Linked DNA regions of Caenorhabditis elegans. The protein of the gene in region 1 interacts with the protein of each later gene in a pairwise test. Each region holds a gene or a part of one and is shown in the gene's direction. Other genes may lie near its edges.

Region 1 (6,600 bases):
GACCCAGAGAATGTCGTCGAGGATTGTTTGAATTCTAGCGTGGATTACCGAGCCGTCTGGAAAAGATTAAAATAGAAAGGGTTTAAAGCTTGAAAAGATATAGTCTAAAATAGTTCGATCAGAGGAGACAAAGTTGAATATTCTTGAAACTTTAATTCTTTAAATGAATTTGAAGGTGGCCCACGGCTAGTGGAAAAATGGTTTAAAACTATTCCTATAGGGCTACAACTACCAAATATCAATGAAACTTTTCAGAAGCTTCTGGAAATTTTCTTAATGATATTTAGTAATTTTAGCATTACAGGAATGGGATTTAGTTATTTTTCCATTGGCCGTAGTCCACTTTTAATTGAACATCAATTTCATTGAAAAAAATGAATTCGTAAATTTTCTATCTACTTTTTTTTTACAAAATTTTTCCTCAAAATCCAGAATATGCTCTTATATACACACATAAAAAAATTCCCATGATTTTATGGGCAATAAAAGTTCCAAAACTGCATTTAAAACTCGGCATACGATTCAATTTTATTCCACTTTTTTTTGTATTCTCTGCTTTACCAACAAAAACTCACCATTTACATTCTTTTTCAATGCAATTCGAATTTTTCCGCCACTCGTGATCAATCGTAATGGAGCATTGATTTTGGATCGCTGCTCATTTTTCGAAGTTTTCGCTGAGGCTTCAATGCGAAGGAGATGCCAGGAAAGCTGTAAGTTGGAGGTTTTATTTTAAGCCTATTTTAACAATTTGAATATCAGATGTTTTTTTGAAAATTTTAAAAATCCAACTATGTATTTTTCCTGAATATTTTTTTTCTAATCACATTTTTTAAGATTCATCTTTGATGAGATATTTTTAGATTTATAATTATTCAAATTGATTCTAGAAATGTTTCTTTTTAAAAATTCACCTGCTTAAACATCAATGTTCTATTTGTCTCCGAGCACGTAATTCTAGTCTGACGCAAGTCTTTCACTTGAGCCCATCCTGGACTTCTGCTCTCCACTGACAATCGTTGAAGCTGAAAAATTTCATTAATTAAAACATTTTCCGGCTGAGCAAACACAAACCATAAATGAGCCTCCGAATACGTCGGAATCAAAGTTAATTTCTACAGAACTTATATACAAAGACATGTTTTCGATGATTTTGTTCATGAAGCCGTATGAACTGCTGTCACCGAGATTTCTGCAAAAACGTGAAGGGTTTAATTTCGAAAATGGTAGAACTATGCTTACCCAAGTGGATTTGATTTTGCCTGTTTTTTATGCTCATTGGTAAGCTCCACATCCACATTGATTTCATCAATGAACTGAAATTATTTTTACGATTATAAAAGCATGAATTTGAATGAAAAAGGAGTTTATGTGAGACTATGACACTTTTCAAAATATTTATAACTTTTTTTTTACAAAATAGAAAACGTTATCAAAAATGCAACATTTGGCAGATTTAATTTGTCTGATATAATTATTCAAAATACGAGAATAAATTTGTCTACTTCAATTTCTAATTCAAAAAAAAGAAAACAACCTACAATCTGAATTGGGCAAGTTTTCAATTTGGTCCATGGTACATTCACAGCTACACCTGTACAGAATGCTCGTTTGATTTTCAACCACGAAGGAAGCTCCTGAAATTTTGAGTTTATGCAAGGAAAGCATGTACATTTAAAACTCACCAAAATCTCTGTCAAAACATCTTCGTTAATTTCAATAAACTGAAGTTTACTATTTCCTTTTAACACGTCTAAGGATATCTGCTCGGGCTTCAAGTTTTTTGTGAATCTGAAAAAAAGTGAATTTTTTGAGGGTGCAAACTTGATTAAATTCCATAGTAAAACTTTTCAAAAAAAATTTGAAATTTTATACTTATTGTCACAAGTAGCAATTACCAAGATATTTTTGGTTTTTTTAAGCGATTTGGAGCATATTTTGGCAAAATTCCCAGTGGCGTTACAAAAATTTTAACATCCATTTTATCAACTAAACAAGGAGGGTATTATTTGAGAAAAAATATGTTTGACGTTGTCATCGATTTTTAATATTTTTCAATACACTCAAAAATTAACTTACTTGGATAAATGTTTGACTAGCTGGTTTTTGATTATTGACGTCATCTTCGGTGTACAATTCTGCAAAAAAAATCGATTTTCAGGTGCGAACTACAAAAAACTACATAAATACACAGAAAATCATCAATAGAACATATTGAATCAAAAACAATGTGCTCATTATTTATGCGAAAATGCATTAATTGTCCAAATTGCGACTATCGGTTTTTGCCAATGGAGCGCGTTTGGCACACGCGGCGGTGTATGCTTGGGAGGGTGCGTGCGCGCGTCGGCATGCCAATTCTCTCAACGTGTTTGTGCTTGGCTAGCCATTGCTGCTTTTTGATAAGAATAGAAACGCGTTTTGGCGTGAGAAAAAAGACCGGATATAGATTTTGAAGATTAGAATTAGAATTTTTCCCTTTTTTTAAATTGTATTTCAATATAAAAATATAATTTGATTAGAATTTTTTGTTGTTGCTCATTGAACGTTTATATAATAAAAAAGAAAGTAGAAGTAGTCAATCAACAAATTTGTTTATCGTTTGTATTAATCGTTTTCTCTGTCATTATTTCTCTAACTCATCGTGAATTTGATTGTAGATAAGCAGGAGAGCAGTCGCAGAGCACAGGCAAAATGGGGGACGACGGGTTCCTCGATCAATACCCTGCCAACACCGATGCGGGCATTGGCACTGTGCACAGCTGCCGCTACTCAAAACAAAAAAATCCGGTGCAGAACAACGATTTTTTATCGTGCTCCATGTGCATACAGTGAGTTTATTCTACTTTTTTTGTTGCAAAATGAAACATAAACCGATCTTAATTAGGAAAAAAGTCAAATTTTACAGCAATTCAGTGGAAAATAAACTGAACGATTACGTGGGAAAATGCAATTTTTACACTTTCCTTGTCTAGTAACACAATGAACAAAAAATGAAAAGAGAAAGTTTTGGAACGATACATTGAAGGTGTTAAATACAATTTGTTTGCAAGGAAGTAAATGTCACAAGTACATCAATTAAAAAATAAAACTATATTTATCGTAATTTTTTGTTAAAACATGAAAGATCATGTAGACACAGATTAGTAGATTACATTAATAGTAAAAGTTAACAAATTTTCATTTTTCAGCAATGGACCCATCAAACTCTACGGTATTTTTTCCGGATTTAATGGTGGCGATTCAACAGCGAAGTTTGTCATGAACAGATTGGTATATGAGATTTTTGGAGAAAATCCAATTACACCAACACTACTCCCTTATCAAGTGATTTAACAATCAAATTTTCAACTCTACAACTACATTTTCAGGTGGTGGAAGAATTTAAACGGAAATTTGAAAACGTTGCCGAGCGTTATTTGTTGATGAACACCGATGATTTGAACAATCGACTGTTAAAGTTGGAGGAACAGTCGGAAACTGGAAATAATGCAGTATCGGAAATCAATCAAAAAGTTAGACTAAATTTTGAAATTATTATAATCTCCCAAATTTTCAGATTCGCCAAGGTACCACTGCCATAGTAGTCATGATCATTAACCAGGACCTATATGTGCTAAATTGCGGAAACTCTCTGTAAGATTTTTGAAACTGTTTGTTAGGAATTTTTGAAAAAAAAAAACTTTCAGCGCAATTGCTATGAACAGTGAGAACGTAGTGCAGCTCAACTCAAATCTACACAATAATGACAATCCTTTGGAGATTGTACGAATAAAAGGGCTAGGGATTAATCCGGAGGTAATTAATTTTTTTTGTAATAATTTTACAAAATAAGTTTACAGACAGTTCTGAATCCAACTAGAGCGATCGGTGACTTACAACGAACCCACCTGTTTGAAGAGACGGAAGCTTTCAAGAATGCAAAAGGACCACCGGTTATTTCTACTCCAGATGTTCAGTATACAAAGGTTTGCTATGATGAAATGTTGTTCTGGAACATTTTACGAAAAACAAGATAAAAGATCAAATTCAATGAAAATATTAGTCACAACACCTCAGATTTGATTACAAAATGAGAACATGTTTTCTTTTCTTTTTTTAAATGCTTATTTTCCAACCAACAGGTAACTTCTACTTTTAGATCGACCCATCCTGGAGACATTTGGTTCTGATCTCCGACGGTGTAGTTCAGAATCTTAAGGAAGTTGAAGTTGAAAACATCCCAACGTAAGTAGCAAACTTATGGAACTTTTTCGTCAATAACCAAGTCACACGTTTATAAAAATAAAAAATAAAATTTTCATCGATTCCCCAGTTTTCAGAGAAGTATCCGTTCGACTAATTGAAGATCACACAGTTACAAGTACAGCGCAGGCATTGGTAGACTCGTTTGCAAGAAAGCATCGCGATGCTTACACGGTTTGTTGGATTTACCCTTTTTTAGATAAGCAAATTTGAATACAATTTACAAAATTTTACCTATTTCTTCTCAATTCAATTAAATTTGTTCAAACATTGGGCGGATGTATTTTGCTATTCCACATTGCCATATTATTTTTATTTTATTTTCAGATGAGCGACGATAAAAATTTCTGTATCAGTAATCACAGAGAGGAAATGACTGTGATTTATGTGAAGCTCGAGGAAGATTACCAAGCGGCTCTTTACGAACAATTCGATTCAGCGATTTCGACAATGGAATCTACAAATGCAACATTGTATGAGCCCTGCTCGACACCATATGTCGATGCTACCAACTTCAATTCTGGAAAAAATTATGAAAAGATGAAGAAACTACTTCTAACTCGACCTTCAAAATAAATATTGTTGCTAGTAAATATAAATATTTGTTATCATGTATTATGTGTTATTTTTGCGGGGAGTATGATTATGATGCTTTCATTACAAATGTAACGTTATATGTGCCTATGTGGTGCCATGTGCCAGGATGTCCCATCACGGATTGATCTAGAAAAATAGCGGGATTTTTTCGCCCAAAAAAAATGCGACGTCAGCGCGTTCTTAACCATACGAAATCAGTGGAGAACTCTGCGTCCCCTTCTCCCGCATTTTTTGTATTATTGATCTACGTAGATCAAACCAAAATGAGTAACTCTGACACCACTTGTGTGCCCTGTTCGACACCTTACGTGGAAGCTACCAATCTCAACTCTGGGAACAATTTTGAAAAGATCAAGAAACATTTTTCAAGTCGACCGTCAAAATAATTTCTATTGTTGCTACTACATAGATCTAAACTTTTCTTTTCCTATTTCTTTGTTTTATTTTGAAAAAAAAATCTCTGACGAGAGATGCGGGGGAGGAGTTGCTTGAGCTGGTGTGAGATCAAATTTCTTGAATTTCACATCAACGCTTTTGTCCTGATTTTGAGACTAGATTTTTCCGTATTGGTCTTTTTCTGCATTTCAAAAAACAAGACGCAAATTCTGTTACATAATTTACCTTTTTCAACAATCGGTCGTTATCGTGAATTTGAAATGATCTGAAACGCTTATTTAGAGGCACACAGATTTGTAGGTTTTGTTGCAAGGAAAGCTTATGTCATCGCTTTTTGATCTTGACAAATGTCGTTTTTATCAGTTTAGTTTTTCAGAGAAAAAAGTTAGGATTTACACATATAACTGGGAGCCAAAAAAATTTTTTTTTTTAATCCCGCATACCTAAAATAGTCCCAAATGTTCGGAAAACATAATAAAAACATTGAAAAATTTGGATTTTTGGAGGTTTTCACTCAAAAATTCGGTGACAACTTTTGAAATGTTCGTCGAAAAGATTGGTTGCCAATTTTTGATTGTATAGAAATTTAAAAAATTCTTTATATCTACACACTCACGTGGCGCCAGAATGTCCCGCTTCGGTTTGATCTACGTAGATCAACAAAAATGCGGCGGTTGAGATACAGAGTTCTCAATCTTTCTGTGCGAAAAAATCCCGCTTTTTTTGTATTTCAAACCGTATTGGTACAGCCTGACACCACTTGCGCACTATAAGGAGCGGTTTTAGATGTAATGCTTTGAAATTGCAAGACAACATGCTGAGTGCAATCAGTTTGGTTTTTTAAATTTGTACAGAGTAGGCGTCTTGTCAAACTGTTTTTATCTATTTAAACTATTGATGTTTTGAACTTCTAGATTTCCATTTGCATATATTAAAACGGATATGTTAAAATTTGCATCTTACGTTTTCTTTGGCTCTCTTAACCCACTATTACACTAATAATAATAATTTAATACGTTGGATACAAGCTATGGTTTTTTTTCTACTCACAAGCTGTTTTCAGATGCAAAAGCTAGTTTAACCCTATAATCTAAAACGAATGTTTCTAAGCGGCCCCATACGTTATTCGTCAAGTTGAACGACTCAATTGAAATATCCGGAGTAACATACAACGACGCGTAACTAGATTTTCTATCTCTCTCTTCCACACTTACTCTAACACAAAAAGAGAATTGACTTTATTTTTTGTTAACATCTCTCACAGCTTCTAGATAGATCTTATTTGCTCTCATAGTTTTTTTAAATTTTTATTTTATCATCCCCCACTTGACACTTAATAGTGTTCAGAAGTATTATAAAATT
Region 2 (8,036 bases), on another chromosome or scaffold:
GTATACACATTTAGACACATTTTTTCAGTGGAAGTCAAAAACCAAATGATTGGGGATTCAGAGAAAAATATTTAATCGAATGGGTTTCTGATATAAAACATAATTTATCTTATTGTTTGGAAAGTTATCAATTTCTCAGGAATTTTTTAATTTTACGAATTTCAAATTTATAGAACAGATGTTTTTGAAAAGATTTTTTGGAATGTTTTGATGAAAAACTATAATTTGATCTCTGAATACAAAAATCTGTAGCTATAAAAGAGGATCAGAATAAATGTTCAAATGAAAAATTCTCATAATTTTTATACCTCACAATTTGGTTCAAAATTCTATAAATTAAAAAAAATGAATTTCCAGAAGCTTCGGGTAAAGCACTACGAGAGTCGTTTGAAGCTTGGGACATCTTTCTTCGTGAAATTGATGATGAACTGGAAAAGACGCTTGGACCAGTCAAAAGTGCAGTTACCACTCTTCCAGAAGGTACTCCTTATTGTATTTCAAAATGTATTATTTTGATTTTTCTTTCAGATTCTGGAATTCTCGGACTTCAAAGCAAAACTATTTCTTATTATGTTACAGGAAGTGCTTTTGATTGTGTGCTCATTATTGTAGTTCGGTTTGTTTTTCTGATTTTCCAAATAAAAATGGTTAAACTTCAGAGCATTCAACAGGCCAGAAGTTAATGAGCATATTTTGGGATTATATAACAGAATTGATGAGTTAAGGAAACTAAGATGTGATGTATTCTTATTGACAAAGGGACCACCAATTGGATCAAGTGGTGGTGCATACATTAAGCTTATTGGAGTTCCTTTTCGTAAATTATATGATATGAATGAGGCTGAAGAACAATTAAAAATGAATAGAAAGTCTGCACTGGAATATAATGGATGGAGAACGCTTTGCAAGGTAAGAGTTATGACTTATTTTCATTATCTTCATAAAAGGGGACAAAAGGTATTTTATCTAACTTCCTTTTTGAACAAAAAATATGAATAAATTCATGAATTTGGCAAAAATATAATAAATAATGAAAGAAAAAAAAATATGGTCCAAAGTTTTCTTATCCAACTTTGAAACATTCACATCAAAATTTCAAGCTTCAAGATCAAGATTGGAAAAGAGTTTGTTGAAAGTAACAGTTTGTCGGAAATTCAAACAAATTTTTATTCTTTGGCGAACGTTGAGCAAAAAAGTTGATATCAAATTGCAACGTGGGAAGGATAAGCAATCATTGTGTATAAATTGGAAATTTTCAGGTTGTGGAAGCCTCTCTCGTCGAAGGAGATTCAATTGTTGCGAAAGAAGCATCAAGCTCAGAAGACTCAGTTTCTTACATTTCTCAAAAAGGTGGTACTGTACTTGTGGATAAATCAGGAGAAATTCTTTACAAGCACATTGAAGACGATAAATCAGATTCATGGCCAGATATTGATGAAATAGTAAAACTGGTTGAAGCAAGGGTATGCTTTTTTATTTTTAAAACTCTCTTAACAAACTTCTCCAGAACGCCAAATACTTGGAGAGCACTAATAATTCTACAATATCAATTCCGAAAGGTGGAAATCTGGCAAAAGTGAATTCGGAAATTTCTGTAACAAAGGAACTGGCGACGGACAAAAAGAAACCGTGTTGCGTAATTAGTTAAATATCTAGACTACATTTACATTAAAACCATACATGTTATCTTGGCTGATCTCATTATTAATTCATTATTTTAATATTAGATTATTTAACTATGAAATAACATAAACATTAATTTATTTTCAATTTGTTCCAATGTGGAACTTCCAAAAAAAAAACACTCGAATTTAATGTGGTTGTTATTTTACAGTGAAAAAAGATGTTCGGATGCTTTGATTTCTTTTGGTTGAAGATTTTCAGACTCGTTTATTAAACTTTTACTGTATTCTTGGAATAAAAAAGTTCAATTTATTTTCAATTTTCAATCAATTTAAAAATCTATCATCTGAAGAATAAAACACAACACTATTACATAGAAGTTTCAAGGCAAACCATATATGGCCATATGAATTTTTTTGATCGTTTCAATAGTTTTCTAAAAGTACAATAATCCACGGTAATCCTACAGTACCCTGGCCATATCCCGGAATATTTACGATTGCATCAGAGTAGCAACAAACGTGTGTATTGATTGATTTTTTATCGTATTGAAGGACATCTGCTGGTGGACCAGGTACCCGCCTATAAATGTCTAGAATTGGGTGAGTCTCACAATGACGTCCCTCGGGTCTCAATTGTACACAATCGATTGTTGAGTTGCGCTACTGTTTTCCTCTTGAAACTATAGTTAACTAAACGATTTTTATTGAAAGTGAGGTTTATTCTCGTTTAAAAAAAACAATATTTATTAAAGAATAAAATTTTGTAAAATCAAAAATGTGCGTTCCATCCACAGTCTCGTTCATTTATATACTTTTTTGTTGCTTAATTTATCTGCCCCTTCAAATTCTTATTGCTCTAAAAATATTCAAATTAAGTGGTGTCTGAAAATAGAATCATAAAGATACAATATTTAACACTCGTTCTTCCGAATTCAGTTTTCTACCGATGTTTCTCTCCTGCAAAAATGTGGTGTCTCGGTAGTGCAGCAAACGCGCTCCACTGCATGTTCATTGAGAGGCCGAAATGTCAGCGTCTTTGCAGCTGCATTGCTCCTTCGATTTTTCTATCTCTTGCGCGCGCGGTGCAAATGTCTTCCTACAGTTTTTGCTCTCGAAAATAATTTTATGTTTTCCTCTATACACAATTCTAGTCCAATATTGTTTTCATACAATCCTCTGCGTTTAATTTTTCCGTCTCATAAATGTTCCCATTACCGTAAAATATTTGTTATCAGACCTCTCACCATTCTCTTTATCGTTACTCTACTTATCAAAATCACGTGATCATCACGAATTTCCAGAAATCGTAGATGATTGAAGACGAGAAAGCAGGCTTGCAGCCGATGGACATAAGTGATGCTTCTGTGGTGCGTTTTTGCCTGACATTTTATATACTCATAGGCGATTAGTTCTTTTTTCAGGCAGATGTTGAAAGCAAAGACTTCCTCACAAGTCTCTTTGACTGTGAAGGTAAATCAGATGACAGAATGCTTCGTTACGCCGATGCGATAATCGATGTTCAAAATCTGAATTTTGATGTTTCTCCTCAGTGTCTGCAATCGAACATTGCCGAAATAATCACAAAGTTTGTACTTTTATCTCAAGATGGATCAAGAAGGGGGCTGTCAAGATCGTTCAATTTCATCGACCCTGATATCATTGCTGGATGTCGTGAAGAAGACGCCATCGAGTTTCTCTTAATCAATTTTGTTCGTTGCCATCATGAGCTTGGAAAGGTACTCTATCTAATATAGTTCTATTTTTAATTTAACAATTTTCAGAGCGGTACTTCAAATTGCTACAAGAAAACTCTCGAATCTACCAGGAAAGCAGTTTTCTCAGTTTTTGTGATGATACAGAGAGGCTACTTGGAGAGCCAACTTCGCAGCCAACATGCTAGTTTGGTGTTCACAAAAAGACTTCTGGAGGATACGGTGTCAAATGTTTTTCTAAGAACATTGGTTGAATACCTTGCAAGTACAGATGAATGCGATGAAGACGCTATTACAGAAACATTTAATCCAATTTTCGGGATTTTGCGGAGCGGAATTATTTGTCAACGCTTTGAAGACAATAAGGACGAAATTGTTCGTCAGATCCTTCGTGTGATGAACTTGCTTCTCAGTATCAGACTCCCTTCAAACGGACCTCGCCCACTGAGTAACCTACTTGTTAATCGAGAAGATTTTCTCCCAACGCCGTCCGAAAAAATACAAGGACGCGAGTTTGGTTTAATGTCCTTCCTAGGACCGTTCTTTTCGTACGGCCTCGAATCATCAGCAAGGCGTCCAAATCATCGAGTTTTTGTGGATTGTGAAGAAGATGCAAGAAAATATGATGGATCAGTCAACACTGAGCAGAAACTGTATTTCCAAAGAATGGATCCAATTCGAACTATGCTTCATCAATTGATGCTTCCGCTTGCTTCGGATCAAGGAAGTCGCAACAAAACTCTAAGATGGATTGCCACCATCATAAGCACCAATGACATTCGCACTCGTTCACATTATGATCCTTCAGATGTCTTGTGTGATCATTATATGACAAATTTTTTGTCCGTGATGTACATGTTTTCCGAGAAAATCGACTTGTCCAAAATTATCGTAGATTATCCGTTTTTACCGAGTTCGCTTATAAATATTTCCAAGGAGACTCGTCTCAAAATGGACGAATCAGGAGCAGTCGCTTTTGCTAGCCAATTCGGTAAGTTTCATTTTTCTTTCTCAAAAAATTAACTTGTTTTCTTTTTCCAGCAGATCGTCCAGATGAATATCATTTCTCTACAGTCTGCTTCTTCCTGACAATTGCAGCACAGAGGCTCGTTATTCCTCCATTGATGAATCAAATAAGTGAATACTCTCGACACCTTAAGGAGCTCAAGCATAAGATCAATGCGCTCAAAGAAAAACTAAATACTGTGTCAGGATTCGAGAGAGCTGAGGTGGAAAAGAAGTTGAACTATGAGACTGAACACTGGAAGCTCATGTCTCGTCATCTTTTATGTGTTAAGACACAAGCTCAAGATCCTGCATTAATGGCATCTTCTATGGATTTTGTCGATAAGCAGATGAAATTCATTTTGAATTTGCTTTGTGATAACTTGGATTTGCTCGGAGACGACAGTCAACTTCCAACTGAAGTATCACAAATGTTTTGTGCGCTCCCAGAATATTTTCTAGAGGATGCTCTCGATTTTTACATATTCGCTATTTCCAATGGAATGAAACTGCTCATGGAGAGAAATGCGGATTGGATTTCCCGTCTGACGGTCCTTTTCACACAATATCACTACATCAAAAGCCCATTTCTCGTTTCCAAACTGGTGAGAGTGCTGTCTTCTATTCAACCTCCATTATGGTTCAACGTGGTCAGACTTCGAATGGCACAAGAAAATTTATTGATGTGCATGATAAAGTTCTACTCGGATTTCGAAGACAATGGTGACTTTTATGAAAAGTTTAACGTTCGTGGAAATATCCAGTACATGTTGGAAAAAATGGAGGAAGATATGTTCTACAAAGGAAAGTTTATGGACATGGCAAGAGAATGCGGAGCAGAGTTCATTCGGTTTGTCAATATGGTGATTAACGATGCAACATGGTGTATAGATGAGAGCTTGTCTGGTTTGAAGAGTATCCATGATGTTGAGAAAAAGATGGCGAAGTAAGACTATTTCGAATGATAACTTAAAAATATAAATTTTATTTTCAGCAAAGTCGAATGGGACAACACAGATCAAGAAATCCGTAATCAGGATCTCGGCGTGTACGAGGAGGCAAAACGTAAAGTGAAGGGATGGCTTGGAACAGCCAAAAGTAATCTTAAATTGCTACTATCGATTACCGTAAACTCACCCGAACCTTTCCGTACTCCGGTTCTCGGCGAAAGACTTGCTGCAATGTTGAATCACAATTTATCGCAACTCATTGGTAGCAAGGCCTCCGAGTTGAAAGTCAAGGATCCAAGAAGTTATGGATGGGAACCACGGGAGTTTGTATCGTTGCTGATCTCAATCTATTTAAAGCTGAATATGCCTGCATTTGTTAAATACATAGCATACGACGAGGTTGGTTAACACATTTGTTTATTCAAAGAGATTTATTTTAATTATTTTTCAGCGTACCTACAGTCCTGAATTCTTCCATAATGCGATTGAATGCATGAGAAAGAATAGTATTGTTGGATTCAGTCAACTCGAAAGTTTCGAACATTTGGCCGAAGATGTTAAAAAAGAGTATGAGGCAAAAGCTGAGCTTGAAGAAGAGTATGATGATGTACCAGAAGAGTTCAAGGATCCTATTATGGATGCAATTATGGTTGATCCTGTCAAATTGCCATCAGGACACGTGATGGATCGTGCAGTCATCGAGAGGCATCTTCTCAGTACACCCAATAATCCGTTTAATCGTGCTCCCTTGTCGCACAATGAGCTTTCTCCCGATTCTGAGTTGAAGGCAAAGATTCAGGAATGGATTTGCCAGAAAAGAAATTCAAAGAAATAATTTTCTATCATATTCTATTGTTACCCAATTTTGTATTTATTGTACTTGACCATTGCACATGTGCAAAATGTCTGTAAATTTCACGCGTTCCTTTCATTTTATAAGTTTTTCTGGTCTCTCAATGGTCTAATCTTTCGGTTTCGGTTTCATTTTCTGCATGGATTCCTTAAAGTTGGTATTCTTGCCCTCTTTCATCAAACCTAAAAAACACGAGTAGTGCCTTGAATGTGAATAAATTTATACTAATTTACTTATTTTCTAAATTTTGGCTTCTATTGCGGTCTCCGATCCGCATACTTATATTTTTATTCTTTGTGAATTTCTTCACATATTCTGATTTTAGCCTTGAACCTGGAATGACTAAATTTCTGTAGGTTTATAACGAACGGTGTCGTATTGTTTTGTGATTTGTTACATGTCAATAACTTATAATATTTATACGTTCCCAGTCATCCCAAATCCGATTAATTTTTATTTTTGAAATATATTTACTGCTTTCAGTAGCTTGGTACATCTGGAACGTATTTGGTCGACGGCAATGTCTTTATTCGCGAGACAACTTCAATCCTTGACTGCCAGTGGAATCCGCACACAGCAAGTTCGTCTTGCGAGCACGGAAGTATCATTCCACACAAAGCCATGCAAACTTCATAAACTTGACAATGGACCAAACACCTCTGTCACCTTGAACAGAGAAGATGCTCTCAAGTACTACCGTGACATGCAGGTCATTCGTCGCATGGAGTCTGCTGCTGGAAACTTGTACAAGGAGAAGAAAATCCGCGGTTTCTGTCATCTCTACTCTGGTCAAGAAGCTTGTGCCGTCGGAATGAAGGCTGCAATGACAGAAGGAGATGCCGTCATCACTGCTTACCGTTGTCACGGATGGACCTGGCTTCTTGGAGCTACCGTAACCGAGGTTCTTGCTGAATTGACCGGTAGAGTTGCCGGAAATGTTCACGGAAAAGGAGGATCCATGCATATGTACACAAAGAATTTCTATGGAGGAAACGGAATTGTTGGAGCACAACAGCCACTTGGAGCTGGAGTTGCATTGGCCATGAAATACCGGTATGTTAACAAATTTTGATGTATTTTTTTACGAGAACAACTCATATTTTTTCATCTAAATATTTTATTTTATTTTCAGTGAACAAAAGAATGTATGTGTTACTTTGTATGGTGATGGTGCCGCTAATCAAGGACAACTTTTCGAGGCGACTAACATGGCTAAACTTTGGGATCTTCCTGTTCTGTTCGTTTGCGAAAACAATGGATTCGGAATGGGAACTACTGCTGAACGTTCATCTGCTTCTACCGAGTATTATACTAGAGGAGACTATGTTCCTGGAATCTGGGTTGATGGTATGGACATTCTCGCTGTTCGCGAGGCTACCAAGTGGGCTAAGGAATATTGTGACAGTGGTAAAGGACCACTTATGATGGAAATGGCCACCTATAGATACCATGGACACTCTATGTCTGACCCAGGAACCAGCTACCGTACCCGTGAAGAGATTCAAGAAGTTCGTAAAACAAGAGACCCAATTACTGGATTCAAGGACCGTATCATTACATCTTCATTGGCCACAGAGGAAGAACTTAAGGCTATTGACAAGGAAGTTCGCAAAGAGGTCGATGAAGCGTTGAAGATTGCTACATCAGACGGTGTTCTCCCACCAGAAGCTCTCTACGCCGATATTTATCACAACACCCCAGCTCAAGAGGTAAGTAATAACATTCATTATTTTTTCGTCAATTATTGTTCACATTTTCAGATTCGCGGAGCCACTATTGATGAAACTATCGTCCAGCCATTCAAAACTTCTGCTGATGTACTGAAGTCTATTGGAAGAGCTTAAACGACACGAATTTTCTATGCAACATTGACTGGCAAAAATTTATAATA
Region 3 (8,838 bases), 2.0 Mb from region 1:
TTTTGATATTTAATGTGTAGTTTTTCGTTTAATAATTTTAGGTATGGTATGTTTTGTATCAATTTTGCACCCCATGGTATTTTTCATGGATCTTCTATGATTCCCAGCGTCTTCAAAATGCTCGTATAATTTTGTTTCTAAATGTGCACATTTTTGTTTGAATCCTACGTAAATTCCAGTTTTGTATATTGAATTTCAAATATAAACAGTCAAAAAATGGTATTGCAAGAAATACTGCAATGAAAAACACAGTAGTTCTAGGAATTACGAACAAAAATTAATTCGTCGGTTTATCATCTTGTAGAATTGGATTTTTGACTTCTGATTTTTTTAAATATTTTAGAATCTTTTTCGATTTTACTTACTTACTTAGTTTTACCTAGTTTTATTTAGTTTTATTTGGTTTTATTTTATTTTTTCTTTGATACTGAGTTTTATCGAATTTTCACATAAATTGCTTTAAGTTTCCTTGAACAAATCATTTGAAAATCATCAAAAGTATTTTAGGATCATTTTATGCGTTAGTGATTATTGATTTAATATATGGGTTATTGAATAGAAAATGCCAATTTTTTGATTCTATGTGACAATTGGTTTCTTTCTTTGTGATAGCAAATTAAAAAAATATTTCAATGTCATAATAATTAACTAGAAGCTTCAATAATGAACTATGAATAGCATATAAGTTTGAAATCTATTGATAAAAGATTATCAACAAAAAAGAAAAGAGTTAAACCATGTAAAACTTTTAGTCAAGTGTTAGAAATGTGTTGATTGAGTAGCCCCTCTCGAGACGCGAGTAAGAAATCGATTGATCAACGATAGGTGGGAGGCAGTGCGCTGGGCCCTACGCTCACCATCGGCATCTCTGTGCAACGCGTACTATCTCGACGACCCATCTGTCCAATTGCTACACGCATTCGCGATCTTGTTCCGCGCTGGACCACACTACCAACACTTCCCGCTTGACCCTTTCTCTCTCCCGGAGCCTAATAACACCTGCTTTTTCTACTGGTCGTTTTTTCTTTTATTAATTGCCTCTTTTCTCTCAGCGTGTTTGTTTTTTGTCTTCTATTTTCAATTTTGAAAAAGAAAAACATTTTTCTCGTTATTCAAAAGTTTCTCTTCATGTTTTCTTCTCCGTGTGAAAAACAGTATAGATTTCTCATTCCCAATTCTCTTCCACCTCACCGGGTCACGTGAACTTGATGCGAAGGAAAACAAACCCTCAACTGTCTAGCACTCACAGTTTCTGGTTCCCGAGCGGTGGCGGCACACAAGGTCGAAAAAATTCAGTCACCAAAAATTGATAGCCTCGGCTGTTTTGGCGTGTCAAATTAATGAACACTGTCTTAAGAATTTCAACATAATGTTTCATCTTTTTCCTTTTTAGATTTATCATCTCCTGTTTGAATTTAAATATTTCACAAAGTACAAAAAGTTACGATATAGCCAACTTTTCATAACAGAGAAAAACCACTGTAATGTCAAATTTTCAGAAAATTGGTGAATTTCTGTTAAATATCCTTAGTATCCTCAATTAACAAGTTCCTAATCAATTTCTCTCCGAATCTATTTCCAACCAAAAAGTGTTTCAAGTTTGGCATGTCGCCCGTCCCGCTGTTCATCCCGTCCATCTTCGCTCGTGTGTCCCGTCCATCCCACATATCGAAAATATATTGGTAGTGTGTGTATGTGTGTGTGTGTGTAGAACTGGCCACACAGACGTATATACTGTTAGATACGGGGAGAACCACCAGAGATGAAGAGAAATGGTGGTGAGTGGTCGAGCGCACGTCGATGAGTGTCTATGAGTGCGGTGGTGAGCGCATGAGCGCGTGAGTGTGCGGCGGTGCGGTTTCTCCGTCTCTACACGACATGAAACCCTCTCAGTTGACCCTACGTTCCTTCTTCTCTCTGCACACACACACACATACACACAGCGGTCTCATTGATTCGTGAAAGAAAAAGAGAGAGCGAGAGTGCGGGAGGGTGGTCTGATGAGTGAAGCGTGAGCGGACAGACTCACGGGGGTTAGTAGTAGTGAAGCGAGGAAAAAGTGGAAAGACGGGGAGTTTCCGCTGCGTCTCTCGCCCGGCAAGCAATTTGATGTTGGCCTCTCACTATGAGATGGAGAGAGACAGACAGGGAGAGAAACGCGCAATGTCGTCGCCGGTCGCCTTCTCGCCCTCGATCGGGGTAGCCAGCAGCAGCAGCAGCAGCAGCAGCAGCAGCCCAGCCAACCAGCCTGCGAAGCACCAGACCCCTCTTCTAACTAGTCTCTCTCCTTCTTCTGCTTTTTCCTTCTCCTTTCTCTCTTTCCTGCTTTTTCCTTAACCCCTTGTCCGCCTAGTTCCCACCTAGCCAGCAGCGCCCCGGGGGCTTTTGGGGCCTTTCTTTACAACAGTAGTTATGTAGGTTGTACAAAACTTATTAAATTTTTTAATGTTTACCTTTTTACAGGAGAACGCTTTTTACACTGAACTTGTTTCTATCTAGCAGTATTGCATTAATTAATAGTTTATGCTTTCTAACTTTGACAATGATCTTGTAAAACATAATTTTGCTCAATACTGTTTGAATGGCTTTAGATCATTTTTTATAAAATTTCTATTAAGCTGATACTCCTGGTCCGTAAAATTTTCAATTGCCTTCATGAAATCCTGCTCGTTACGCGGCTAATGTTGTTCGACCAATGTACCCATGTCGAAATCAAATAGTGTTATCAATCAGTCTATCAGTTTCTTTGTTTTCTCTTGTCATCTATCATTTACCATCACGCTCTCGCCAAAACTCATCAATCAATAATATTCCATTTTTTACAGATAAGCTCAAACTCTGATCGCCAGAGCGCGATCAACGCAACCATGGAGAGTCTCGCAAAAAACTTCAACAACATTTCAATAGACGACGCAGCGTGGCATCCTAACGACCAACAGCCTGTATGGGGAAACAACGGTCTCCAGCAGCAACGTGTCTGGGCTCCGCCGGTACCGCAGCCACAGTTCCCAAACAGATCGCCATGGCAACAGGAATCGAACGATATCGGTAATTGGCAATTGTAATCTTGATGACGTAAAAATTGTTTCAGAGCCAAATGTCAACGAAGCCCTTGTTGGACTCAGTGGCACAGGCTCATCAAGTCAAAGCCAATGGGGTGGCATTCAGAATACAGATTATGAGAAACAGATATGGGGTGATCCACCATTGAGCGATGTGCAGTATCCACTTCAACCACATGCCTGTAAGTTCAAATTTGATTAGACGTTATATTTATAAATTTAAATCTATAAATTTTCAGCGTTCGGTGAATTGAATAGTCTTGGAGGTCAATCTGCGCCTTGGTCCATAGGGTCTCAGCCAGCGCACCCGGTTTGGAGTAACGGAGGAATGGGAAAAGAATCTGATGACTTTTGGAAACAGCAACAGCCTCAACAGCATCAGCAATACCCGATGCCATTGCTGCAGGGAGCCTGGAATACAGGCATGAGACATGGACCACCAGGACAAGGACAACGTAGTGGGCCAATGATGCAGCAGCAGCAAGACTACCAAGGGGGATGGGGTGGCCCGAATAACATGGGTGGCAACAAGCAGATGAACCGTCCATGGGGGCAGGACAGCAATCGTGGAATGTCAGGCATGCCGCCCCGAAACGGTCGTCCAAACCACAACCAGGGACGGTACTCTGGCAATATGGGTGGCGGTGTTGACGTTTCAGTTCCACCACCGATGGATATGCACATGGGAGGTGGTATGGGTGGAATGAGAAATATGGGTGTTGCTCCGAATAGTGGACACGGATCATGGAAGAATAACAATGCTGGTGGAGGTCAAGGAGGCCACGGCGGTCAAAGAAACTACAACAACCGTGGTGGAATGGGACACAGTGGAAGCCAGAGTGGCGGAGGATCCAATATGTGGAACAGCACCGGAAACAATGGAAGTGGTGGAAGCATGCAGCAGTTCATGGGAGGAGACCAGCAGTACAACAATCCATTCCCAATCGGCGGAGCTGCTGATGATCTCACACTGACTGTTTGGCATGATCCAAACGGAGAACTCAAGAAATGGCAGAGAGATACTGGAGTGTCCTATTGGGGAGACCCGGAGAAGCAAAGTGAGTTTTTTAAAAAAATATTTCCTTGGTGGGAATTGAATGAAATTCTCCATTGTTTCATGAAAAACTGAAATTAGTCTAAATGTGTTGCTATAGAAATCACCTATTATCGACTATTTTTGCAGCTGACCGTACCATTAGCTTGTGGATTGTTGGCGAAGGTGCCGATGAGGATTTGGAAACTGCATTGAACCGATGTCCAGTACCACAGAAAAAGGTAATATTGTTGTCTTAGGTATTAAATTGAACTTCATGTCTCAGGGAGAGGACAATCAACGTTTCCCATTCCCAGTACCAGCGAAACGGCCAATTGTTGTGACCGGATGGGGAGAGCTTCCAGAAAATGATCCAAACAATCCGTCCAAGAGCGAGTCGACGATATTCGACGAGAACAACAGATGGAACGACTTGACAACTGAGCAAAATCCATGGTATCTTCCGAATCAGCACACTTCAACATTCTCCAGTGACAACACCACTGGATCGTGGGTGCAGGGAGGAACAATTCCACTCAATGAGCCCGGAACCAATCAACACGTGGCTGTGGCGGAGATGCTGAAGAACGCTGTCGACAAGGGATACCTGGACCAGAGCGTGACGATGATGGCCAACTTACCGCCAATGGTGCTGCAGTATGTCAATATGCTGCTCGTCAAAATTCCAGCGTTGGATAGTGTGGAGAATGAGCTGAAGCAGATAATTGAGAGTTCTCTGCCAGAAGATGTGAAAGAGGTTGATCCACAGAATCAACAAAAGTACATGAATGATAGTCAAAAGGTGAGGAAGATTGTCGAGTTTTCAGGTTGTTCAGGATAAAATTATGAAAAATTAAAATAGTAGAAGCCAAAATAATTATCATACTACAACCTATTATTATAGGAAACAAATGAAAGCTAGACATTTTGCTAGAAATTTAAAATATCAACCTTACCAGAAAACTAGCTTAGATCCTGCTTAAACCTAGATTTTAAATTGGGCGGCGGGATAGCTCAGTCGGTAGTGGTGGCCGCTAGCAAGCTGGAAGTCATGAGTTCAAGCCCCCTAGGTTTACCCAGCCTCTATTGAGAAGTGGAGCAATCAACGACTGGATTATCGGTCACGGTCCCCGGCTTGAACGTGGCTCAAATAATAGCCCGGTGGGAGCCCCACCAGACAGTGCACTACGGAACTGAATTCCAGATCCGCAGTGCATAACACCTGAAGTACGGATCGTCCTTTAATCCTTTAATATCAAACTTTTGAAAAATATTAGACGCATCGCTAAGGAGCTCAGATTACTTCAGTTCGATTGCTTGCAAAGATGAATAATATGAATACCAAACAAATCAATTTTCCAGCTTGAACACAATCGTCTCATCATCGAAGTGACGACAGCAAAGATTGAAGTTCAAGAATACTCGAAAAAAGTGAACCGTGCGCTGATGGACGCTGGAATTGTGCAACCGCAGGAGCAACGTGCGCCAGCCTCAACGGAGGACTATCACTACTCGTTCTTAGAATAGATTGTATCGCCCACCGATCTTCTCTCCCACACACGAACAATTATCATCATTACTTTTATTTTGTGTTTCGCACTGTAATCTGAATTTTAAGTTTGGAAATTTGAAATTCAAAGTTTCAGCCTTGTCATCATCATTTCCCATTAACTTGTCTCAGTGACCTTTGACATTTTCTTCAATACTTTTTTACTCTCCCCCTTTCTCTTTAATTTCGTGTGTGTGTGTGTCTGTTTCCTTACTTTATTGCCTCCGGATTTCTATTGTAAACGTGGTCTTGTGAATGTTCTCTCTATCTTGTCGTCTCCTTCCTTCTTTACTGCTGATCAGACGGGGAAAATTACACGTTTTTTGTATTTCACCTCTCGTTTTGCCATCTCCAGATAATCAATTTTTCTTGTTTAAGGGGAGGCTCTCGCCTTTCCCCCTCCCACTAAGAATAATTTGGTGGCTGGTGCTTGGTCTCACAGGGATTCCAGGTTTATGTCTGCCAGTTCATACCTTCTCTTCTCTCTCTCTCATAATAGGGGTCTTTGTTCCAACAATTTCCAACCACGCGTAAATCCATCTTACTTTCCCTTTTCCATAACATCCAAACCTCAAAATATAATAAAGTCCATATTAATCAAAATACTGTATTTCTTTTTTTAAATTGTATCCTTTCGAAAATATAATTCAGTTTTTGGGGCTATTTCCACTAAAACTGCACTTTCTGCAGAGCCTCTGCGAGCATTTTCACCCCACTACTCTTAATCCCCCACGTTCACTTTTCAATCAAGCTATTCCCATTTTTAATTTGAATCAAAATTTCTGTGTATGCTTTGCTTCCAAACGTCATTTGTAATCTGGGTCTTTTCTACGTCATTCTTTACAGTTTCAATGTGCTAATGTCTCCCGTCTCTTGTCTCTTTTTGCTCTCACCCTCACTCACTAAGTTCCAACCAAAAATTGTGATGAAATTATCCCTGAAAACTTGTCAAAATTGGTTCAATCAGCTACATGCGCACACTTTGAAAATCATACAAAAATAAATACAAGAAACGCCTTTCTAAACGATACATAAACTCGTCGTCCCGGCAGCATTTCCCTAGAAACCAGGTCAATTCCTAGTACGGCCCTTTTCCGAATTCTCGCTCTCAATTTCAAACAAAATGGTGTTCTCATTTCATTGTCTTCTTCTCCAAACTTACCGGACTTCAAATAAACTCATTATGTGCAGTACAGTTTCACAATTCGGGACCCTCTCTCTTCCAGAAATTTGTCAATTCCCCTCTCTCATTTCTCACTCCGGCTCTCAAAAATCTTGATTAAATCTCGCATGAACATGTAATAATCAAAACTGTTTTCTTATCTCTTACCATACTTTACTTGTAACACCCATGCCGTCCAACATCACCTTTGGTTCTATTCTCGTATAATAAAACGTTGTGAATTAAACTCTGGAATGTTCAATTTTAGGGAGCAGAAATGAAATAGCACTGTTTCTGTATTTATTTTAATATTTATTTCAAGTTTTAGGTTTGAGTGTATGATAGAAACACAATTAATATTTTGTATTCAAAATAGCCAATTTGTTCAGCAACCGCTTTTTGGTATCACCTGTGCAGCCAGAAACCATTTCTCGTAAAATAAAAGCTTGTCAAAAAGATTCTCCCCGGCCGGGAATTGAACCAGGGTCTCGCATGTGACAGACGCGGATACTCACCACTATACTACCGAGGACACATTTTTCAAAGAATTCGGAGGCTTTCAAAATCATTAATGTAAGTTGAAACCAGATTTACTCTGCAATTCTTACTTAAATTGTAGCATTTTGGCCGACTAATAGTATGTAAAATAAATATGAAAAAACAAACATAAAATAATTTGACAGTTGACCTTGTCGCATTAAAACCAAAAGTATACAAAATATAAGCTGCCAATGATGCATGAGCAAATGTATAGCCTGAAAAAATAAGTACTCAAGTTTGCCACTTACAGAATTTCCTATTTGATATCTACATCAAAGACCAATATCTTAAAATGACCATTAAAGCCAAACGAGCAAAAAGATTCTCCCCGGCCGGGAATTGAACCCGGGTCTCGCATGTGACAGACGCGGATACTCACCACTATACTACCGAGGACACATTTTTCAATGAATTCGGAGGCTTTCAAAAACATTAATGTAAGTTAACCCCAGATTTACGGTATAAATCTTGCTGAAATTGTTTCATTTGGGCTGATTAATAATATGTAAAATAACTATGAGAAAACATACTTGTCAATTGACTTTTTCAATTATAGCCAAAAGTATACAAAATATGAGCTGCCATTCATGTATGAGCAAATGTAGAACAAGAAAAAGCGGGACTCAAGTTTGCCATTCGCAGAGTTTCCTATGGGAGACCTACATACATGCAAGACTAATGTCCAATTTTTCCGCAGAGCTGAAAAGTAAACTTACTTACTTACTTAGTCGCAATAGTCCTAGATGGTTCATAGTCTCTTTTCATAATTGTTTTTCTTTTTTGAGAAGGTTTTGATGGTGTCCAGGAATTTCAGTGCGTGAGTGCATCTGTATATTTACGAAGGTCTGCACAAACATCGTGGATGGTTCTGGTCAAATATAGGTTTTGCTGAAAACGTTTTTTATGGGGTTATTCAAGTAATGTAGCAAAATGTATGTGACGTCACAAATGTATTAAAATACATGTTTTTATGTATTTTAATACAGTTGTGACGTAATTTTTCTACACTTTTTAATTTTCCGACACTACTTGAATAACCCCATTAGATTTTATTTCTGTGAATTCTAGTTTTAATCCCTATAGAAGAATTTTCTTTTGACTTTGGGAATCAGAAACCATTAATTTTTGTAAATTTCCTGCCATCTCAGAGTCGCCTATCAATTTTTCTTTGCCCTGTTAAAACCCCTTCTTTGTTTTCAGAAAGTGTGCCAATATAGATTTCAAAATCAGTACTGGGAAACGCTAATATCATCCGAACTAAATTTATGTTACTTTTTTCTATTATGTTATGATAATCGGTTTGTCATTGTAAATTAATTGAAGTGATCAGAATGGAACATGCAATTCATCAAAAAAAGATTCTCCCCGGCCGGGAATTGAACCCGGGTCTCGCATGTGACAGACGCGGATACTCACCACTATACTACCGAGGACACATTTTTGAAAGACTGTTCTGTTAAAAAATCAATGCTGATGTCAGCTACGAGAATTT
Region 4 (6,155 bases), 3.0 Mb from region 1:
GAAATGAGAGGGAAATGGACGAAAATAAGCATTGTAAGGCAAATCTTCAAGTGTTTCATTTTTCAATTTACGTACGCCGATTTTCGAGTATTTTTGGGTATTTTCACAATAAATGTGCAGGTGGTCGCTTGATTTCCGAGCGTCTTAGTCAACAATCGACACATGACAAATATAACAAAAAAAGAGATCGTCTTCTTCAATGTTATTCTACAAAACTGTAACACATGACGTTTTCGTAAATATAGTTACTATGAAGGCAGATGATACAGTCAACCTTTTTTTTTTAGTAAAACTAGAATCATCTGTGATCATGAATTGGAAATTGGATTGTTTTGAAAAGTAGGGGGACACTCTGCCAAATGCAGACCAATTTCAAAATTTTCCAATTTTCATATCCCACGCGACGTTGTTGTTCACTTGGCCAGTAATCGAATGACTGGTTGAATAAATGAAAACATGCAAACTGTGAAATTTTCTCACCGTGCAGATTCACAGAACTGCTAAATATTCTGCTAACCAAGAACAGATAGGAAGTCGAGACAGAGTGTAAGCATCAATGATTACTCATGAATATTACATTAGGGAGTATTATGCACTTTGACTTTATGAGCTTATATCCTATTTCACATGATCATTCATTTCTCATTTTCTGTTAGTCTGAAGTCTCAATATCTAAGTATCGAAGTCTCATTGAGCCAAGTTGTAAAGAAAGTTGAAATCTGCACACACACACACACATAGAGAAGAATTTTAAATTAAATGCTTCCCCCGAATTGAATTGTAAAGTGGTCGTAATAAAGAAAACTACAAACATCCTTCCATCTCTCAGAGGACCTTCAGAAAGAAAGAACATTTGAAAAATGACCAGCAGGTGGTGCCTTGTTCAAAACAATTTGGAGTCTGGGCACAACCTTGACCAAACATCTAATAGGTTCCCACGACTTCACTGCTCCGTCGGCCGCTAATCCTGAAATGGCCAAAAATGAAAAGCCCATTTTGGTAATTGGGGCAGTCTGAGAAATGCGAATAAATATATTTAGAAACGTATTTTTCAAATTGAAGGTGGGTTCACTGGTTTTTGAATCTTTCCCGTAAGACAACAGTTCTCATTGATGAGTAAGAGTATACCTCACTGCACGGTGAAAGAAGATGTGGAATAGATAAGACGTAAATTGCGTTGAAGGTCTCTGTATAGTTGCGCACCACACCACGCATCTGTTGTTCCTAATTCTGTTTTGATAGAATGGGGTTTGAAAGGTTTCGGGATAGGAAGAATGAAGATGTACATGTACTTCCTCGAAAATCGGAAGTGAAGACAACAAAAATGAAGATCAAACAACAGTCGGATGTGTTCCGCGACACCAATTCTAATTGATATGGATGTTTGTACAAAATACCAGTTACAGTTTCAGAAACATCAGGAAAAATTACAGATACTATTGTAATAAACATTTTTGTAAAATTCTACATATGAATTAATGAAAAGAATGAATAGAACCTGGCCTTATATGTAGTTTAGAATTGTAAATTTATCATGCTAATTATTTTTCTGAATCTCCTTTGTAATTTAAGGCAAATACCAGGCACTTTCAAGTTAAGTAACACGATTATCAGCCTGTTTTGCCTGCATGTTTACGCGCCCTGCATATTCGATCCTAGGCTGTTGTGAAGCGAGAGCCAACCGCATCAGCTCCGAGCCTCCGAGCCCACCGCCGCTGGTCATTGATTTAGAACAAGTCTGCAGCGGTCGTCAAAGTAGCCCCCAAAGCGCTGCCGCATTGTTTGAATTTGCTCCAAGTTTCCAGAAACATCCAGGAACATGCAAGAATCATCATTTAACTTTGAAAACGGCAAGCTTCTGTAGTCACATTTTCAAATTTTCAGACCATACATTACTCAAGATAATTTGAAGGTAAATTATGGCCCAAAGAGTTATGGTGAGCGCTCTTTCTATTTGAATAACAGAGCGACTTCAAATGACGACCGAGCGCCTGGTGGGTGGGCAAAAGGCAGCCCCCTAGAAGCCTCCGCATGTCCGATGTTTTCGTCCTATTTTCTGCACAAAAATATTCAAAGTTCAAGATTTTAGGCCGAGTTTCTAGTCAACTAAAAGCCCGGAAAAAGACGAACCCGAATATCTAATTTTCATCTAATATATCTGAAATTATGTTGACTTCCTTCAAAGAAGAAATGTGGTGCGCGCTCTTGTTGACACATTGCGAAAGAGACCCTTTATGAGTCGTAGGAGGCGGCGGTTTTCTGTTGGCAGCCCCCTCGAATCACTCCGCAATTGTGTGTTTGTAGCGCGCCAAACGGCTCTTTTTAAACACAGATATCAAAACTTATATTTTCTTCACTTTAGCTGATGAAACAGACTTTCCCCTCTCAGAATATATAATTTTTATTCTGAAATTCGCAGTTTGAATGGTTTTTACAGACCCTAAAATGATGGTGCGCGCTCCTTTCGGCAGATAGGGAGAGACGCACAGAAAACGAGAGGGAGGGCTGGGAGGGGTGCCGCTCACTCTGTTCAACATTACTCGCTCGACAACGTCCTTCTCGTTTCTTCTTGATGCATTGTGTATACTTCTACAAGGGCTCATACGCCTCGTGTTAGAAGAGATGAAAATGTCCCATCAGTTTCATATCATATAAGAATACGGAAAGGAGCCATTCTTTGCTTTCTTCAAACAATCTTCATTTGTTTACCGCCCTCTTTCTTCTCTTTCTCATTTGACCTTTTTGTATCAAACTCTTTATATTCTCGTTTTTCAGTGACTCATCCACTTCAAGCAACTAAATCAACTATGTCTGACGGAAAGGAAGAGCTCGTGAACCGCGCCAAGCTTGCCGAGCAGGTATGTAGATGTCTCAGGATGTTCTTGAATACTAAAACTTTAATTTCAGGCTGAGCGTTACGACGACATGGCCGCATCCATGAAGAAGGTCACCGAGCTGGGAGCTGAGCTCTCCAACGAGGAGCGCAATCTTCTCTCCGTTGCCTACAAGAACGTCGTCGGAGCCCGTCGTTCTTCATGGAGAGTCATCTCTTCAATTGAGCAGAAGACCGAAGGATCTGAGAAGAAGCAACAAATGGCCAAGGAATACCGTGAGAAGGTTGAGAAGGAGCTCCGCGACATCTGCCAAGACGTTCTCAACTTGCTCGACAAGTTCCTCATTCCAAAGGCTGGAGCCGCCGAGTCCAAGGTCTTCTACCTCAAGATGAAGGGAGACTACTACCGTTACCTCGCTGAGGTCGCCTCCGGAGACGACAGAAACTGTAAGTGATTGAAAATGATGACTGTAATTGGGACATAACCGTGCACTCGTTTCTAACCCTCATTCGTAAGCTATGCATCCTTGTGTGAAGTGTGGAAAGATATCATAGGGAAGACAGAGAACGGGAGTTCAGGCGCGACCCAATTCCACATCGATGCGTAGTTTTTGAAAATAAACTCTAGGGCAGCTCATTGGGGGTTCTCCTCTAGGGAGTTCTGCCTCTCATAGTCATACTCGTTTCAAAGAAGACCAGAAATGAATATTCCTTCTTTGCAGCGGTTGTCGAGAAGTCGCAGCAAAGCTACCAAGAGGCGTTCGACATTGCCAAGGATAAGATGCAACCAACTCACCCAATCCGCCTGGGACTTGCTCTCAACTTCTCTGTCTTCTTCTATGAGATCTTGAACGCCCCGGACAAGGCTTGCCAGCTTGCCAAGCAGGTGTGTTAATGTTTTTATTTTATTTTAGCAGTAGCCAACATTGGACAAACGGCTTACGCGGAGGCACTTGAAATTGCAAATAAAGATCTGTCACCAACGAACTGTGTTCGCCTTGGTCTTGCACTCAATTATTCGGTGTTTTTTTATGAAGTAGCAGCAAGCCCGGATAGAGCATGCCAGCTTTCCAAGCAGGTGCTCGTTAAGTTTTTGACATAGCATCGTAACTTCAAAGCTATTGATTACCTTTAATCTTTCAGGCTTTCGATGACGCCATCGCTGAGCTCGACACCCTCAACGAGGACTCATACAAGGACTCTACCCTCATCATGCAGCTTCTCCGTGACAACTTGACTCTCTGGACCTCGGACGCTGCCACCGATGACACTGATGCCAACGAGACAGAGGGAGGCAACTAACTCCTTCACACCGACACGTTACCGCCACACACCCCTCACCTCGATCTTGAAAATGATAAATAATACTATTTGTCATATGATTTATTTATTACCATTGACTAGTTAAACCATCGTTTTTCTTTCCATTTTTTTCTATAAATTCATCAATCACTCCCCTTTTCCCATCAACCAAATGCAGAAGTTATTCAAATTTCTGTGCTGAGCCCACTCATCAAAACTTCCCGTCTCTACCCATACAATTCAATGTTCCGTTTTGTTACGGCTTTTCCCCCTTTCAAATCTCGACATTCGAAACACCCCCAAGCTTTTGAATACACATAATAAAGTTGTAACACCAACTTCAATATGAGAAATTAACGCAGATAATCACGTCGAAGAAATATTAAGAGGGGAGGATTCCGATTGACATCCAAATGTATAAAAATTAGTGCAATTGAACAAAGTTCGAATGAGAAAAGAAAACTGAAACGAACGTTTTCTTTTAGCGACATCTTGTTATTGCAGGTTGTTCTTCCTTAACCAAGATAACTACTACGTCTTAGGCACTTGCTAAGGTTCAATTCAAAATTTATTTCATTTATTATAGATATGAACAAAGATGAAAACTAGAATTTAATGTTCATATTCATTGAGGAATAAGAAAAGGTGGAGTCCTGGATTAAATCTCCGGTACATGACACTTTCATAGGTTTATTTCTAGTTAAATTGGCTTTACAGATATAGCAAAATTTTGGTTAGTGACATACTTGAAAACTACTTATTTGGACGGGTAGGTTTCATTTGCAACGCCAGGTGGCGGCGCCAGCTAACAACCAAAAAATTGGGGTTTTTACAGCCGATAATATAAGGAGTGGTAATTGGTACACTGGTAATTGAGATAGTTCTATGCAGAAAGAGCAGGGTTTTGGGAACGAGCTACTTTTGTACCACTTTACAATTAAATGAACATTTGTGCTTTAGTTGAAAAGTTTGAAAGCCGAATACATAAGAATACCAAAAACAATTTCGAAAATTGTCATGTTTTTTTTGAAGAAGAAGAAGAAGTCCTGTTGTTTTGAATGCAGTTTTAAATATTAAAAATTGGGTTTCATTTGTTGGTAACTAATCTACATATATTTGAAAGCCAAACATTATATTTTCTACATTTTGCAATAATTATAACTGAAGCTTTTCTCGGAAATATAAGCAAAAAACATAACGAAATAATGTGAACAACTTTATTACAATCAATTTACCCAAAATTGCATTTGTGAATAATGATGGTTCTAATACATTCGTTTTTAACCAACTTCTAAAAATAAATGTTTTTGAAAAATTTTATCATTCCCAAAATATTTAGAAAACAAAAATGACAAAAGTTTCATTTGCCAAAAACCTTAAAAATTGAAAATTGCAAAAAAATTAACGATTGTTGAAAATGATAATAATTTTTGAAAATATGAATTTTTATAAAGCAGTTGAAGGTTTGTTAATGATGATTTTCAAGGTTTCCAAAACTCTAACCGGCAATGTGTACAAAAATAGCATTCTATACCACACAAATAAAAACATGCAATTTTTCTGAAGAAGGTTAATTGACACACCAATAAATGTTGCAAAAAAATTAACTATAATTTTGCAATGTATTCAGACCTGGGTTGCAATGCAATCGACAAATTTCAGCGATCGTCGGATGAGGGAATTGCCGACAAATTTTCGGCATTTATTGAAATAGCTCGAATTACCGAAAACCAGAAATTTCTTTGAACTTTCAAACTAGGTTATATTCCGAAAATTAGAAAATTAAACCATATTATAATTTATTATTATGTAGTATTCCGTAAATTGTGCGCAAATGCTTGACAGGAAATGCTTGACATTTCAAGGTTTCAGACATTTTTGTGCAAAAGCAACAAAACGATTGCCTAAATAAAATTGCAAGAACTTTATGCTTTTGCGTTAAACTATATAGGTTGCAGCAAATGTAATGGTGCTAAAAAGCTGGTTTAACTAACTTATCCGAGTCATATCGAGTCAAATA

The links.
Region 2: the proteins of tap-1 (region 1) and ufd-2 interact in a two-hybrid assay, tested with the Caenorhabditis elegans proteins (one large-scale study listed by BioGRID).
Region 3: the proteins of tap-1 (region 1) and ain-1 interact in a two-hybrid assay, tested with the Caenorhabditis elegans proteins (one large-scale study listed by BioGRID).
Region 4: the proteins of tap-1 (region 1) and ftt-2 interact in a two-hybrid assay, tested with the Caenorhabditis elegans proteins (one large-scale study listed by BioGRID).

Annotation. Positions count from the first base shown.
Region 1 is NC_003284.9:14,586,964-14,593,563, forward strand, and holds tap-1 (TGF-beta-activated kinase 1 and MAP3K7-binding protein 1), read left to right. Parts: upstream 1-2,660; 5' UTR 2,661-2,694; coding exon 2,695-2,831; intron 2,832-3,191; coding exon 3,192-3,327; intron 3,328-3,371; coding exon 3,372-3,515; intron 3,516-3,559; coding exon 3,560-3,636; intron 3,637-3,689; coding exon 3,690-3,798; intron 3,799-3,842; coding exon 3,843-3,968; intron 3,969-4,141; coding exon 4,142-4,227; intron 4,228-4,322; coding exon 4,323-4,419; intron 4,420-4,572; coding exon 4,573-4,821; 3' UTR 4,822-4,858; downstream 4,859-6,600. Other genes in the region: bltp-3B (Chorein N-terminal domain-containing protein), read right to left, coding at 1-56, 576-711, 915-1,025, 1,075-1,192, 1,243-1,316, 1,542-1,637, 1,686-1,791, 2,080-2,123. UniProt on the Caenorhabditis elegans protein: Involved in the Wnt signaling pathway by regulating mom-4 kinase activity.
Region 2 is NC_003280.10:8,059,817-8,067,852, forward strand, and holds ufd-2 (Ubiquitin conjugation factor E4 ufd-2), read left to right. Parts: upstream 1-2,924; 5' UTR 2,925-2,935; coding exon 2,936-2,992; intron 2,993-3,034; coding exon 3,035-3,361; intron 3,362-3,406; coding exon 3,407-4,328; intron 4,329-4,378; coding exon 4,379-5,288; intron 5,289-5,336; coding exon 5,337-5,691; intron 5,692-5,743; coding exon 5,744-6,127; 3' UTR 6,128-6,377; downstream 6,378-8,036. Other genes in the region: T05H10.8 (peroxiredoxin-like family protein), read left to right, coding at 358-480, 529-616, 660-909, 1,260-1,463, 1,508-1,648; pdha-1 (Pyruvate dehydrogenase E1 component subunit alpha), read left to right, coding at 6,484-6,497, 6,629-7,198, 7,278-7,854, 7,906-7,989. UniProt on the Caenorhabditis elegans protein: Acts as an E4 ubiquitin ligase mediating the assembly of polyubiquitin chains on substrates ubiquitinated by another E3 ubiquitin ligase. The elongation of preexisting ubiquitin chains preferentially targets ubiquitin 'Lys-29' and 'Lys-48' residues.
Region 3 is NC_003284.9:16,610,626-16,619,463, forward strand, and holds ain-1 (ALG-1 INteracting protein), read left to right. Parts: upstream 1-2,825; 5' UTR 2,826-2,867; coding exon 2,868-3,048; intron 3,049-3,091; coding exon 3,092-3,244; intron 3,245-3,301; coding exon 3,302-4,120; intron 4,121-4,245; coding exon 4,246-4,337; intron 4,338-4,381; coding exon 4,382-4,897; intron 4,898-5,246; exon of another isoform or gene 5,247-5,395; intron 5,396-5,457; coding exon 5,458-5,622; 3' UTR 5,623-7,050; downstream 7,051-8,838.
Region 4 is NC_003284.9:11,602,033-11,608,187, reverse strand, and holds ftt-2 (14-3-3 domain-containing protein), read left to right. Parts: upstream 1-2,768; 5' UTR 2,769-2,807; coding exon 2,808-2,858; intron 2,859-2,907; coding exon 2,908-3,280; intron 3,281-3,555; coding exon of another isoform or gene 3,556-3,719; intron 3,720-3,747; coding exon 3,748-3,911; intron 3,912-3,976; coding exon 3,977-4,135; 3' UTR 4,136-4,480; downstream 4,481-6,155. UniProt on the Caenorhabditis elegans protein: Required for extension of lifespan by sir-2.1. Required to modulate lifespan, in concert with hcf-1, acting redundantly with 14-3-3-like protein par-5. Promotes nuclear export of yap-1.